Linked DNA regions of Oryctolagus cuniculus. The protein of the gene in region 2 binds, or shares a complex with, the protein of the main gene of each other region. Links are inferred from orthologs where the notes say so. Each region holds a gene or a part of one and is shown on either strand. Other genes may lie near its edges.

Region 1 (4,765 bases), on a different chromosome or scaffold from region 2:
ATCTTTAGTTTTATTTTTTTAAAGACTTTGTTTTCCATCCACTGGTTCACTCCTCAAGTGGCTGCAATGGCCAGAGCTGGGCCAACCCAAAGCCAGGAGCCAGGAACTTTTTCTGGGTCTCCTACATGGGTATAGGGGCCCAAGCACTTGGGCCATCCTCCACTGCTTTCCCAGGTCATAGCAAAGAGCTGGATTAGAAGAGGAGCTGCCAGGACTCAAACCAGCACTCATATGGGACGCCTGCACTGCAAGCAGAGGATTAACCTAGTACACCACAGCACTGGCTCCTAGTGTCTCTAATTTCTATGTTTGAGGATTTCTAGATTAGAAAGTAAAATTAAAAACCAGAAAGTACCTGGGCTAGATAAAATTGCTGAGTAAATAAGCATTAAGGAAAATAAAAAACGCTATCAAAAACCTCGACTCTGATCATTAGGTTTCTGCTGTTCTTTGGCAAGAAGAGCTCAGGCTAGTTTGACAACAGGGAACACGTATAGGTCCTTACTAACGCAGCCAATTGTGATCTGTGAGGTAATTCATTTCAAGAGCTGACTACTATGGGACTCACAGGTGACCTTGAGAATGCAATGGCTTCGTAGCAACTGCAAAGCGCTGTCAGATGTGAACGCTCTACAAATACTTTTTCTCTCTCCAAATATTCCTCAGGTTTCATTTGTTCTAATTAAAGAGCTGAGAAAAGTGGAATGGAGAGCAATGCCATTCATTTTCCTACACTGAGTCTCTGATACCAAGTGCACAAAAATGCCTGTGTAGGACAATGGAGTACAAGGAACCTACAGACAGGCTGATACCAACAATGTGAGTTTCTGGATTTCTTACCTGTAGCCCAATATTCAAGTATAGGAATCCAATAGAGCCCCTCTCACCCAGCTCATCCTGCTTCTCCGTTCCCCCCATTTCCACAATACACAAGGACTCAGGCTGGGCTGGGAGAGCCTGCATGCTCAGAGGTTGCAAACAGTCCTGGGGCGGGAAGGGAGAGAAAATCATAAAAATCACAATAAATGATCAATTTTAGAAAGACATCCCTAAGAGGAATCTAATTCTAGGACTGAAGTACTCTAGTGGGCAGAGAAAACCCCAAGACTGATTTCTAAGGGGGGGGACATCTGGGCATAAGCTTTGAGAGTAACATGCCTTATTATGTTAAAACATACAATGGAAGAGTAAATAAGCAAAGGACACCTCCCTCAAAGCCATCAAAAGCCCTGGAGCAAGTCAATTGCTCCTATGCAAACACAGAGGGATAAAACATACCCAACTCAGCCCGAGATCCTATATCCAGAGGGGAAAGCAACTGTTTGGTTTCTTTAAGCTTCTTTGCTGATTTTTAAAAAACTACACAGGGAAACCAAAGCTTATGCCAAAGAAATATCTCATAGTCTCAGTTGAGCATCCTCAAACCACAGCGGAGGATGCCTGGGCTATGTTGCAATGGTAACCAATAGACATAGCAACATAGACTGTGGAGCCCAGTCCTGCTAATCTCAAGAGACACCATGCACAGGCCAGGTACTCGGGTTAAACCAGAAGATCCTTGAATACAAGGGCATCACTCACCGAGGGGTCCAGGGAGATAATTCGGACAGTATTGTCTACCAGTCCCACAGCCAGGAAACGAGACCGCTGTTCTCCAGGAGGCACATTGGCCAGACTCATGCACACCACATCTGCTGACATCTCTTTCCGTTCTGTGTACTCATTCAGCTGTCCTGACTAGAGAAAGGAAAGGTCACAAAGTACAGGGCGAAAGAAATACCCTAATTCACCCACAAACCCTACACCCAGGAGACAGGAAGGGAAGCAGACTGTTTAAGGTTTCTTTCAGCTTTCTTTCATTACTCTAAATAGAGACATCCAAGAATTTCCCAACCCAAGAGCCAAAGATTGAACTTCATAAGCTAACCATAAACAAAATTACTTTCTCCCACTGACAAGACAATCAAGAGACCTTTGACAAGTTCAATGTACCACAAATTTTCTAAGCAAACCAGCTGTCAAGAAACAAAAACTGCTCATTCATGAGAAAACCTTGAGCGAAAGGAATTCATATGTGATAAACACAAAGCTGTAACAAACACTAAGACTATGAAAACTGGCTATGTTGGAGATTTCCTAAGAGCAAAAAAAAAAAAAAAAAAAAAAAAAAAAGAGAGAGAGAGAGACAGAGTTATCTACCATCCTTCCATATTAGAAGAGCAAAGGAACAACTCAGACACAAATTCAGATTGCAGACACAAATCTATGCCAAACTTCAGTTGGAAAAGTAGAGTGCGAACTGCATTAAGACAACTGTCTCATTGCTAAGAAGATATTTCTAATTCTAATTAGAATTAGGTATCACCTTATTCTTTCCTCTTTTCTATAAAAATGCCTGGTTTGCTAATGGACACTTTCACTCCTCAATACTTTTTGTGAATATAATATAGATGCCTGGACTACAACTCCCACAGTGGATGATAAAAATAACATACAGGATCCATCTCAAAATAGACCAGCTCTCCTCCTGTCAGGGCAATCACCACTTGTCGCTGGTTCACCGCACACTTCACAATTGTCTTCTTTCCAGGAGTCTTCCACTCGTTGACTCTCTTGTCTGCCCGTATGTGCCGAATGCCATCTGGGTACACCTAGAGGCAAAAACACTCATCACTGACAACAACCTGCAACACCTATCAGATCTGATACCCCATCCTTACCCAAAGGAGATGTTAAGACATTGAATGTGAAGCCCATGAAGAGTAAACTACAAAAGCACCAAGGAAGGTGGTGGAAGATGCCAAGAGCCTGGCACCCACCACATAAGGGGCCCAGATATAGTTCCAGGTTCCTGGCTTTGGCCTGGACCAGCACCAACCATTGCAGCCATTTGGGGAGTAAACCAGCATATGGAAAATTTCTCTAACTCTGTTTCAAAAAAGAAAGGAAGATGAAAAATAATGTATTAGAAAAAAAACTATTGGGGCTAGTGCTGTGGTGCAGTAGGTTGATTCTCCACCTCCAGCACCAGCATCCCATATGAGCACTGGTTCTAATCCCAGCTGCTCCTCTTTCAATCCAGCTCTCTGCTATAACCTGGAAAAGCAGTTCAATTTGGCACAAGCCTTGGGCCCCTGCACCTACGTGGGAGACCTGAAAGAAGTTCCTAGTTTCAGGTCGGCCCATCTCTGACTGCTGCAGCTGTTTTGAGGAATGAATCAGCGGATGAAAGACTTTTTCTGTCTCTCCCTTTCACTATCTGTAACTCTACCACTCAAATAAATAAAATCTTAAAAAAAAAAGAGAACAGTTTCTTTAAAAAAAAAAAAAACCCTCTTTGATAAAAATGAAAGCATTTATGGTATGTGTCAGTAACATAGAAATGGCAGAAAGGATGTCATGCACCAAAATTCTAAAACTGGATTATTATTATTTTTTTTTGACAGGCAGAGTGGACAGTGAGAGAGAGAGAGAGACAAAGGTCTTCCTTTGCCGTTGGTTCACCCTCCAATGGCCGCTGCGGCCGGCGCACCGCATTGATCCGATGGCAGGAGCCAGGTGCTTCTCCTGGTCTCCCATGGGGTGCAGGGCCCAAGCACTTGGGCCATCCTCCACTGCACTCCGTGGCCACAGCAGAGAGCTGGCCTGGAAGAGGGGCAAACGGGACAGAATCCAGCGCCCCGACCGGGACTAGAACCCGGTGTGCCAGCGCTGCAGGCAGGCGGAGGATTAGCTTATTGAGCTGCGGTGCCAGCCAAAAAGCTGAATTATTTAAAATCTGAAAGAACTGGGGTCGGCGCTGTGGCGTAGTAGTTTACGCATCCACTTGCAGCACTGACATCCCATATGGGCAAGAGCTCAAGTCCCAGCTGATCTTTTTCTGATCAGGCTCTCTGCTTATGGCCTGGGAAAGCAATAAAGAAGGGCCAAGTGCTTGGGCCTCTGCACCTGCACAGGAGACCCTGAGGCAGCTCTGGGCCTCCTGGCTCTAGGCTTGGGATTGGCCCAGATCTGGGCACTGCAGCCATTTGGGGAGCGAACAGTAGATGGAAGATCTCTCTCTCTCTCCCTTTCTTTGTCTGTAACTCTGCCAATGAAGTAAATAAATTAAAAAAAAAAAAAAAAAAAAAAGATTTATTTATTTATTTGAAAGCCAGAGTTACACAGAGAGGAGAGGAAGAGAGAGGTCTTCCATCCGCCTGGTTTACTCCCGAATTGGCCGCAATGGCCAGAGCTGTGCCGATCTGAAACCAGAAGCCAGGAGATTCTGGCCCATGCAGGTGCAGGGGCACAAGGACATGGGCCATCTCCTACTGCATTCCCAGGCCACAGCAGAGAGCTGGACCTGAAGTGGAGCAGCTGGGACTTGAATTGGCGCCAATATGGGATGCCAACACTGCAGGTGGTGGCTTTTACCCACTATGCCACAGCACCAGGCCCAAATAAATCAATCTTTAAATAAAATAAAATAAAATAAAATAAGGGCCGGTGATGGGGTGCAGTGGTTTAAAGCCCTAGCTTGCAGTGCCAGCATCCCACACGGGCACTGCTTTGAGTCTCTGCTGCTCCACTTCGGATCCAGCTCTCTGCTTTGGCCTAGTAAAGCAAGAGTGCTGGCTCCTGGCTTTGGATCAGCTCAGTTCTGGACACTGAAGTCATTCGGGAAGTGAACCAGCGAATGGAAAATCTTTTTCTCTCTCTCTCTCTGGCTCTACTTCCCTCTGTAACACTTTCAAATAAATAAAATGAATCTTTTAAAACAAAA
Region 2 (4,765 bases):
GGGAAAGCAGTGGAAGATGGTACAGGTGCTTGGGCCTCTGTGCCCAAATGGAAAGCCTAGAAGAAGCTTCTGGTTCCTGGCTTTGGCCTGGCCCAGCCCTGACCATTGCAGCCATTTGGGGAGTGAACCAGCATATGGAAGATTTCCTTCTCTTCTTTCTCTCTCTTTGTAATTCCTTCAAATAAATAAATAAATAATAAATCTTTTTTTTTTTTTTTAATGTAGGCTACTTCTGGCCCAGAGGTGCTAATTGTTAAGAAAATATGACACAGAGATGATGTGTTGGTTTAATGAAGGTAGTCTCTTTTTTTTTTTTTTTTTTTTAAAGACAGAGTTACAGAGAGAGATAGACACACACACACACACTGAGAGGTCTTCCAATCACTGGTTCATTCCCCAAATGACGGCAACAGCCAGAGCTGAGCTGATCCAAAGCCAGGAGCTTCTTCCAGGTCTCCCATGTGGGTGTAGGGGCCCAAGAACTTGGGCCATCTTACACTGCTTTCCCAGGTGCATTAGCAGGGAGCTGAATCAGAAATGGAGCAGCTGGAACTCAAACCAGCGCCCATATGGGATTGGGATGCCAGTACTGCTTATTTTTTTTTTTTTAACTATTTATTTGAAAAGCTGAGTTGCAGAGAGAGGAAGAGACAGAGACAGAGATATCAATCTTCCATCTGTTGATTCACTCCTCAAATGGTCTAGCCATGGCTAGACCAAGCCAAAGCCTAGAGCTTTTACTGGGTCTCCCACATGGGTGGCAGGGGTCCAAGTATTTGGGCCATCTTTCTCTGCTTTCTCAGGCCATTAGCAGAGAGCTGCCTTCCCCAGGCACATTAACAGAAAGCTGGGTTACAAATGGAATAGCTGCTACTCAATCCAGCACTCTGATGTGGGGTCTCAGTGTTGTGAGGGGCAGCTTAACCCAGTGTACCATAATGCCTGCCCCTTCCCATTAGTTTCATGCTGTATTTGCTTTTTATCACAGTGACCACCAAAAATCCAGTTTCATAGATATGATGTCATTGAAAGGAATGTGTTATGATCTAATATTGTAATTATGAACTACCCTGAGCTATTAAAAATATCCCTTTGCACCCCCATAAGTTGGCTGTGTTACTCAGGATGCCTCAGCATATGTTTAACGGTTTACACTCTACTTGACTGTTTGCTCTGACATTCTGGTGTAGGTTTTTTGACCTGCATCTCAGTTTCCCAATCACTAGCCTTCAGTGTTAAAGTGAACATGTCAGAGTACTCTCTGACGAAGGAAGTGTGGTTGATACTCCTTCATTTTTGTAACACTGGTTTTACCCTTGGAAATACCATTTTTCAGATTGGCTCGACATCGGAAAATAGTGGAACCTGAAGTAGTAGGAGAAAGTGACTCAGAAGTAGAAGGAGATGCTTGGCGCATGGAAAGAGAAGACAGCAGTGAAGAAGAGGAGGAGGAAATAGATGATGAGGTATGTTTAGGAAAATGGGAAGTTTTTCTGGGTGCATGAAAAAATTGAAGCCAGTGCTCATTTCCTAAGCTCCTGTTGGCACAATATTGCTCTTTTTTGCAAAATTCTGATAATGTTCCCTGGTGGGTGGGGATAGGATTGAAAATAATAGAATGATGCTAAGGTGCATTGGTTCATATCAGAATTTGTTGAGCTTGATGAGGGAAAAATAAGAAATCCTTTTAAGAGCATTTGACCGGCTAGCTTAGATGTATGATTTTACAGGAAATAGAGCGGCGCCGTGGCATGATGCGTCAGCGAGCACAGGAGCGGAAAAACGAAGAGATGGAAGTCATGGAGGTGGAAGATGAGGGACGTTCCGGGGAGGAGTCTGAATCAGAGTCTGAGTATGAAGAGTACACAGATAGCGAAGACGAGATGGAGCCTCGCCTTAAGCCAGTCTTCATTCGAAAGTAAGTATTTCACAAACCTGGTCCAAATCCACTAGTTACACCAGGATTAAAGCCTCTTTTCTATCCAATGATCTTCTGAAATCTAAGCACTAAGTGGAAGCATTTTGCCCAGTGTTATAACCCTTGCTAAAGAATATCTTGGCATTAGCAGAGAGCCTGTTTGTTTTCACATCTCTCTTTCCCGTTAAAGAGCACATATCTGCTCAAGGTTATCAATTTTAAGCAGAAAATTAAGCAGGAAGAGTAAACTCATATTCCTTTTTTAATGACTAGAAATCCTATCAGTTACAGTCCAGCAGATTCTTTGCTATCCAGGCAGTCCTCAAAGATGAATGAACTTTGTCTAAAGACCTGAGATATCTGCCACTTTTGGTTCTTCACAAGTAACAGAGTCAAAGATTGTTTGGTGTTGTGTAATGGGCCTAGATCTAAGGGAACAAAGAGCTCTACTCTAAGGACTTGGGCAACTAATAGGACCTCTGTAATGCAGGAAGGACCGAGTGACAGTTCAAGAACGGGAGGCTGAAGCATTGAAGCAGAAGGAGCTGGAGCAGGAAGCAAAGCGCATGGCTGAGGAGAGGCGCAAATACACACTCAAGGTACTGGGGTATGGTTGCAAGCATCGAGAGAGAGCAAATAATGTAATTAGGTTTGTCTGAGTAGTCGTAACTATTCTGTCTGTCCAGATTGTAGAGGAGGAGACCAAGAAAGAGCTGGAGGAGAACAAGCGGTCCCTGGCTGCACTGGATGCCCTGAACACAGATGACGAAAATGATGAGGAAGAATATGAGGCATGGAAAGTCCGGGAGCTAAAAAGAATCAAGAGGGACAGAGAAGATCGAGAAGCGTGAGTGATAGGATGGGCCTAAAGTTAATGCCACTAATGGGACAGGTTTCTGATAGCATCCACCATGAGTTTCATTCTAGTTTTCTTGAGGGATCTTATGGCTGAAGTCAGTCTCCCATAAGTAGAATATGAGTTTCCTTTATTAGAGTGAAATCAGAGAGGAGAAACATACTTTGTTCACCATCATAGAGTGCCAGCCAATGCTCTTGCCTTTTTTTTTTTTTTTTTTTCTCTCAATTTGAAAGGCAAAGAGTTGGAGACAGAGAGAAACAGAGGGCTTCCATCCACTGTTTGACTCCCCAAATGGCCACAGTGGCAGGAGCCAGGAACCAGGAGCTTCTTCCAGGTCTCCTGCACAAGTGCAGAGGCATAAGGACTTGGGCCATCTTCTGCTTTTCCAAGCCATAGCACGTAGAGCTGGATCGGAAGTGGAGCAGCCAGGACTCCAACTGGTGCCCATATGGAATGCCAGCACTGCAAGCGGTGGCTTTACCCGCTACACCACAGTGCCGGCCCCTAATGCTCCCTTTTGTTTCCTGTTAAGACACACACAGTCAATGTTGTTATCTCTGGTTGTGTAGCAACCCAACCCAAAATTTAAGAAGCTTGAAACACAGTTTATTATTTCTCAGTTTTGGAAGTTAGCTGACCAGTTCCTTTACTGGGAGTAACTGGGCCAAAAAGTCTAAAAGGGTTTCACTCCCAAGTCTTGTAGATGATGTTGGCAGTAAGCTGGAATACCTCATTTCTTGAGTAGCTACCTTTCCTAGCAATCTCAGAGCAGCATTACAAGAGGGCAGGGGTGGATGTTAGCAAGGCCTCCTGAGGCTTAAGTTCCAGAACTCATAAATACTTCTGCCAAATCTGGACTTGACATCTGGTCACAGCAAGTCACAGGCCATCCTAGTTCAAGGGAGTAGATAAATAGACTCCACCTGTAGATTGGAGGAACAGCAAAGTTACACAGAAAAGGGGCATGCATACTGTGAGTGGGAGGATTTACAGCACTTAAATATCTACCTCACTCACTCTTTTTTTTTTTTTTTTTTTTTTGACAGGCAGAGTTAGAGAGAGACAGAGAGTTATAGACAGTGAGAGAGAGACAGAGAGAAAGGTCTTCCTTCCGTTGGTTCACTCCCCTAATGGCTGCCACGGCAGGCGCTGCGCTGATCCAAAGCCAGGAACCAGGTGCTTCCTCCCGGTCTTCCATGCAGGTGCAGGGACCCAAGCACTTGGGCCATCCTCCATTGCCCTCCCGGACCGCAGTAGAGAGCTGGACTTGAAGAGGAGCAACCGGGACTAGAACCCGGGGTGCCAGCACCGTAGGCAGAGGATTAGCCAAGTGAGCCACGGCACTGGCCGCTCACTCACTCTCTTAAAGCAAAATTATTTCTGAGCTGTGTCACCCATTCCAGGAATGTGAGAGGATAATTTCAGATTATAAAAGGAGACCATCAGTAGATAAATGTCCTCAGCCTGTAGTTTCTAATGTCCCTATACTGAGCTTTAAGGAGTCCATGCACTGTTTAAGACTGTTTGGCAAATTAAGTGTATGTGTGCTTTTTTCTAGAGAAGGGGGATCTGTGACCCTTCTCTCCCCCAAAAAGGTTAAAAACAGGCATTGCAATCAAATTCATGATAGTAGTAACCCTTAGTTTACATGTAAGCACATACATGATGATGATGAGCTTACACAAAAGAAAGTCTTTTACTTTAAATACACGGTGACTTTTTTTCAGACTAATAAAGCTTTTTAGGGAGGAGGAATTGGTATGCCAAAAAAAAAATTTTTTTTTGAGTTATAAATGCTTCCTTTATTACATAAAGCCAGTAACTGCTACTTCTACGTTTGACTGTTTGTGCACCTCTATGTTGGTATGCAAAATTAAGCAGTAACAGCATACCTGAACCTCACAAAAGCTAGAATCAACTTCTGGACATTTGCAGTACCCACTGTGGCAAACATAATGAATATAACTCACCTTTTTATTTCTCAAACT
Region 3 (5,294 bases), on a different chromosome or scaffold from region 2:
AGCACTGGGTCAAATCTGGTTTCAAGGATCTTATCCTTTTCAACTAAAAAATACAAATTCTTAGGTAAACTTCATTTCAGAAGTTTTAAGGTTTCAGGGTAGGCACTGAGGCACAGCTGGTTAAGATATTGCTTAGGAAGGCCACATCCCAAACGGGAGTACCTGGTTCAAGTCCCAGCTACTCCAGGTTCCTACAAATGCACCTGAGAGGAACACGATAGCCCAAGTACTTGGGTTCCTGCTAGCCACATAGAGACCCAGATGGAGTACCTGGCTCCCTGTTTTGGCCTGGCCTAGCCCTAATTATTGCAAGCAGTTGAAGAGTAAATCAGTATATAGAATCTCCCTCTTTCTCTGTCCCTCTGCCTTTCAAATACTCTATTTTTTTTTTTAAGTCTAAAATTTTATTTCCATAAAGCCTTAGCTCTTAATATCATGTAGTGGCCATCATCCAAAACAGCCTCCATAAGTCCCCTTCCTGGTGTTTCTACCCTGTGTAGTCTCCTTCCAATTTGTACCTGGGTTGGTTTGTGTGGTAAACAGATTATGTTCAAACTGATGACTGGTCACTTCTAAGGTTAGGTTTTAAAAACCACGGCTTCTATTTCTGTGTGAATCACTTGTTCTTGAAAAAGGCAGTTGCTCTGTTGTGAGCAGTCCTACAGAGAGGTTCATAGGGTGAAAGAACTTAGGCCTCCAAACCATAGGTTTGTGAGGGAGCTTGGAAGCAGTTCCTTCAGCCCACTTAAGCCCGAGATGAATGCAAACCTAGCCAACTCCTTGCTTGTAGCTCCATGAAAGACCCTAGAGCAAGAACCACTTAGGTAAGCCACTTCCAGATTCCACACCCACACACACTGTGAACTTTTTGTTTTATGCTGCTAAACCTTGGGTTCCCTTATTAATTTATGTATCCACGGACAGAACTACTGCAGAGAAGAATGATAGCCACTCAAAGAAGTTTCACTCATTGCTACCTATGCTGACCTCCTGCTTGAAGTCCTAACTGCACAGAGAAACAGTGGTGGCAAAAGAATGGCAAGATCTTGTGGGAACCTTCTTCCTATAGGTTACAGTCTGGGTCAGGGAGGAAGGTGCACAACCAGGTAATCCATAACAACGGCAGCCTTTGTGCCAGTCTGGAACCTCAGCCCTTTTTCTGCACCATTAACAGCTCCAAAGCCCCTCCTAGTTCCACCTATTTCTCTCCTAGAAATCAACAGACTCTCTCCTCCTTTCTTCTTCTAACAAAGAATTCCTTTGAAGATGTAAGGAGCAGTTACACTGCCAACATGAACAAGGCCACAGAGTGGCCACTTCTGGAGACACTAATTGTTAACCTAAGACCGTGAAGGACAAAGTAAAACAAACCAAAGAGTGAAATGATAGGCAGCAAGGTTATTATCCTGGGGTTAGGGATCCTCAACATTTCCTAAAACAAATATATATAGTTTCTTGGACCTACTACAGCTGTTTGGAAAGATAAAAAAACCACTTACCCTCCCATCTCAGACTGTGGGGTGGTCTTGGTAATGACAATTGTCTTGCCAAGCTTAGATTCCAGGTCCACTTTGTAGTCTCTGTGTCGCAGAAGTTCCCGCTTGACTGGCTGCACTGGTTTTCCTGAAACATAATGAAGAAAGTCCCTTCAATATTACAGTTATCAGTCAGAAAGGAAAATAAATGCATTAAACCCAAAATTAATGATTCCTGAAAAAAGGCCACAACAGGCACCTCCAGCAGCAGTCAGCAGTAGTGAGGGAGAATCTGAACACAAGAAAAATGATAAGCAATCCCTACTATCTACAGCTTTTCTCCACTTTAAAGCCAGCTAATCTACAAGCTACATGTTTTCTATTTATTGATTAACTGAGGGGAAAAGTTATGAATTCCCACTAAAAGCAGCCTTTTCAAAAGAGCAAGGACATATGAGTAAAAAAAAAAAAAGTGAATTCGGTGAGAAGAGGGAATAATTTGTCACTTATACATAGTTAGGAACAGATCCTTTAATTATCCGGCATACCCAAGAAAGTTTATTAGTTTCAAGTCAACCAAAAAAAGAGCAAGGACACTCAGGAATTCTTTACAGGCAGATACCCTACGCATAACACACAAATGGCCAAATTTTAAAAGGGGGGCCAATATTTAGGAAATATCTATTCACAGACCAAGTACATAATACAGAAAAACCAAGAGGGTGGGGCCTGTGTTGCAGCAGTGAGCTAAGCTGCCAGCAGCAACATGATCGTCCCTTACTGGAGTGCCTGCTAGACTCCTGGGCTGCTCTGCTTTTGATTCAGTTCCTTGATAATGTGCCTGGGAAAGCAGGGAAGATGGCCAGAGTTTGGGCTCCTGCCACTCATGTGGGAGACCCGGCGGGAGCTCCCAGCTCCTGGCTATTACAGCCATTTGGAGAGTGAACCAGCCAATGGAAGGGTTCAGTCTCCCTCTGTCAATCTGCCTTTCATATAAATAAATAAATGTTAAACAATAACAAAAACAGCATTGTTGGCCTGTGAAAAGTGGTGTGGGAGTAAATAGAACAACGTGAAAACAGATGAGAAAAAATCAGACACTTCTTTTCCCAAAGTGGGCGCTATCTAGGAGAGGAGCATCCACGACGTCCCTGATGTCGCACAAGGCGCAGAGAAACAGCACGAGCGAGCGCCAGCTCAAAGGATCGCACGTTCCAGGCAGTACCCCGCTTGCCTCCGGCTCTAAGAGTCCCAGCTGCGCCAGGAATGTTCTCCTCCCTCTGAAGAGCTCTCAAGGAAAAGAAGGTGTCTTTGAGAGCAGTAATGCCCACCAGCCAATCAGTCCACTGAGCTTCTCTGTCACTACTAAGAAGCCCGGTCTCTGTAACTCAGGAAAGCACCAAATGAGCCAACCAATGAAAACAAGCAAACAGAGAACAGAGCTGAAAAGCACCACAAAACCTCTTTATTTCAGACGCGGAGAAGCCGCGGGCCACTTTGCCAAAAGTGCCACCCTGTAGGAGGGCAGCCCATCCCAACTCTCCCGCCCACTGCATCGCCGCCGCGACACCCCGAGCCCTGGACAGAGCAGGCACCCACCATCCTTCTTCTCCCTCTCTTCCGTGAGCCTCTTCTCGGCAAGCTTTTCGTATTCATCTTTGTCCCACTTTCGGCGAAAGTCCAAGTTTTTTGTCTGTGGGGAAAGAAAGCGCTCAAGACATGTCGCTATCGCGTCTGGACCCCTAGAAAGTCTGAAGGAACCACGTCCGCACCGCCAAGGCGGCTCCAGGATTTTTGGAAAGCGAAAGCTCTCCGGCCCAGACCAAGAGGCTAAAGTGGCCTCAGGACCCCAACCCAAGAGAACTCCGCGGTTCCACAGACCCCACGCCTTACGGAATTCTCGAACCCGGACCCTAGGACCGCGAAGTGTTGGGAAGCCAGTCCGCTGCAGGAGCTTGTTTCTATTCAGCACTGAGAAGTAACCCCACCGCCCCCAAAAACCTCCTCCTCACACACAACACATACCCCGCTGCCCGACGCCATCTTCACAGCGAAGTGAATGGGAGGCCGGAAAATGCTGTAAAAAGAGGCCCGGAGCCGTAAAGCAAGTCGGCCCTCCAATAAGCTTAGAGTCTCGTATTCTGAACGGGCTAAGGACTGGAGGGCTTTCACAACAGACTTGTCGGCCCCGCCTCTGCTCCAAGGAGACGGCGCAGGCGCAAGAAAAGTACGAAGCAACACGGAAGTAAGGGCGCCTGCAAACGTTTTTTGTACCGGCTTTCAAAACAAGCGGTGAAGAGCCGACACGTTTAATTCAGGTTCTGAAAATGCCTCTTTCTCTAATCAACTTTGCGTGCATTGTCAAGAGTTTCTAAACCTTAAGTCCCAACTACTACTAGGGGCTTTAGATGTCTCATTCCCCTGCAGCTGCTAGGGATGGGGCCCTGAACCGCACTGAAGTGTTGGCAACGGCTGAACCTTCCCAGGCAGAGACGGAGAGCGCTTTTTGCACTAGGGCTCTCTTTCTCGAAACAGTACTATCACTCTGGTTAACTCATTTTTTCCTTCAACTATGGAACATCATAGGTCATTCAGTCTCTAGGAAACCATTTCCTCAATATGACTGGACACAAGGCGGCCAATCATCAGCAATAATCAGGTGAAGCACTCGGGCAGATGGCTCAGGACACGTTGATTTCTAGCAACATGACTATCAGCGAGTCGGGGTGTGGGGGGCAGGAGTGGAAGAAGGGGCTGTGGTTGCTCCGTGCACAGACTACACCTCAGGGAGGTTACTTCTAGCTCACAGAATTCTTCAGTCTAAATTGAAACAAGCCAATGACCTAGGCAAGCCAATCCCTTGATAACACATCACTCAAACTACCACATTTAATACTTTATTTAACAAATTATTTAACCACCTGTAGAAAAGCAGGGCATGGAATAGTCGGAGCATGACTCTGGCATAGGAAATAGTCTCCAAAAGCTCAGATCTCCAACTTGACAAGCCACCAATGAAATTCAACCCCACTATCATAAACAGTGGCTGGCGGAGACGACAGATCAACTTGGGCACTCCCGCCCTTAGGACAGCATCTCCGCCCTCAAGCGAAGAGCAGTCATTGCTTCTCCTTGCTTTCTTTACAAAACTCCTTGGACATATCCAGGGTTCGTTGAGGACAAATCCCCCAGATTCTGGTTCCAAAGCTGCTGTGGAAGGTCCAGTATCTGCCTTCTGATCTCGATGGTTCAGAATCCTCAGCCTGAGGTGGCTCTCCCAGAGCCGAGCCCTGCTCCCAGCAACCCCTCAGCACCTCTTGGTGGCATTTAGCAGCACTCCAAATTTGCTTCCACAGCTGGAAAATGTCTTTCACACCCCAGCCATCTGCACCCATGCAGAGCAGCTTCCCGTACCAGCCCAGGAGTCCTCAGGCCTTCTACAGTTCTGTATCCAGGAAGGATGGAGGAGGTAGAAGTGCTTGCCACCTATCCTGGCCAGCTATGCTGGAATCCAGCAGGAATTCTGGCCCAGATGAAATCTCTTCTACAAAGAGCAGCAGACGGCTTTCAAGCAAGGATCAAGACTCAGACAGTCGCTTCTGAATTTCAGTCACAAGATCTTCCCGTTTAACAGCCACCTGAAACATACGAGACCCCTGAAGTGACAAACTAGAAAGTGATACTCACTCTTTAATCACTGTTTTTTCAGATTCATTTTACTCTGCGTGTACTGTGGGCTTCACGGTAATCTGGAGAACATACATCCTCAAGACTAAAGGGATTTGTTTACTTTGTTGGTCAGTCTCAAAGCACCATTTT

The links. Proteins that work in one complex are often made in the same cells at the same time.
Region 1: MFAP1 (region 2) and SF3B3 share a complex: the UniProt entries of both Homo sapiens proteins name them as parts of the spliceosome B complex. The link is inferred for Oryctolagus cuniculus from reciprocal best matches to the Homo sapiens genes MFAP1 and SF3B3.
Region 3: MFAP1 (region 2) and ZMAT2 share a complex: the UniProt entries of both Homo sapiens proteins name them as parts of the spliceosome B complex. The link is inferred for Oryctolagus cuniculus from reciprocal best matches to the Homo sapiens genes MFAP1 and ZMAT2.

The regions. Positions count from the first base shown.
Region 1 is NC_091449.1:56,664,000-56,668,764, forward strand, and holds part of SF3B3 (splicing factor 3B subunit 3), read right to left. Parts: intron 2,652-4,765; coding exon 2,496-2,651; intron 1,738-2,495; coding exon 1,582-1,737; intron 985-1,581; coding exon 841-984; intron 1-840. UniProt on the Homo sapiens protein: Component of the 17S U2 SnRNP complex of the spliceosome, a large ribonucleoprotein complex that removes introns from transcribed pre-mRNAs.
Region 2 is NC_091443.1:66,693,943-66,698,707, reverse strand, and holds part of MFAP1 (microfibrillar-associated protein 1), read left to right. Parts: intron 1-1,336; coding exon 1,337-1,466; intron 1,467-1,730; coding exon 1,731-1,918; intron 1,919-2,408; coding exon 2,409-2,517; intron 2,518-2,604; coding exon 2,605-2,765; intron 2,766-4,765. UniProt on the Homo sapiens protein: Involved in pre-mRNA splicing as a component of the spliceosome.
Region 3 is NC_091437.1:28,328,706-28,333,999, reverse strand, and holds the start of ZMAT2 (zinc finger matrin-type protein 2), read right to left. Parts: upstream 3,647-5,294; 5' UTR 3,519-3,646; coding exon 3,501-3,518; intron 3,169-3,500; coding exon 3,075-3,168; intron 1,624-3,074; coding exon 1,500-1,623; intron 1-1,499. Other genes in the region: HARS2 (histidine--tRNA ligase, mitochondrial), read right to left, coding at 5,054-5,113. UniProt on the Homo sapiens protein: Involved in pre-mRNA splicing as a component of the spliceosome.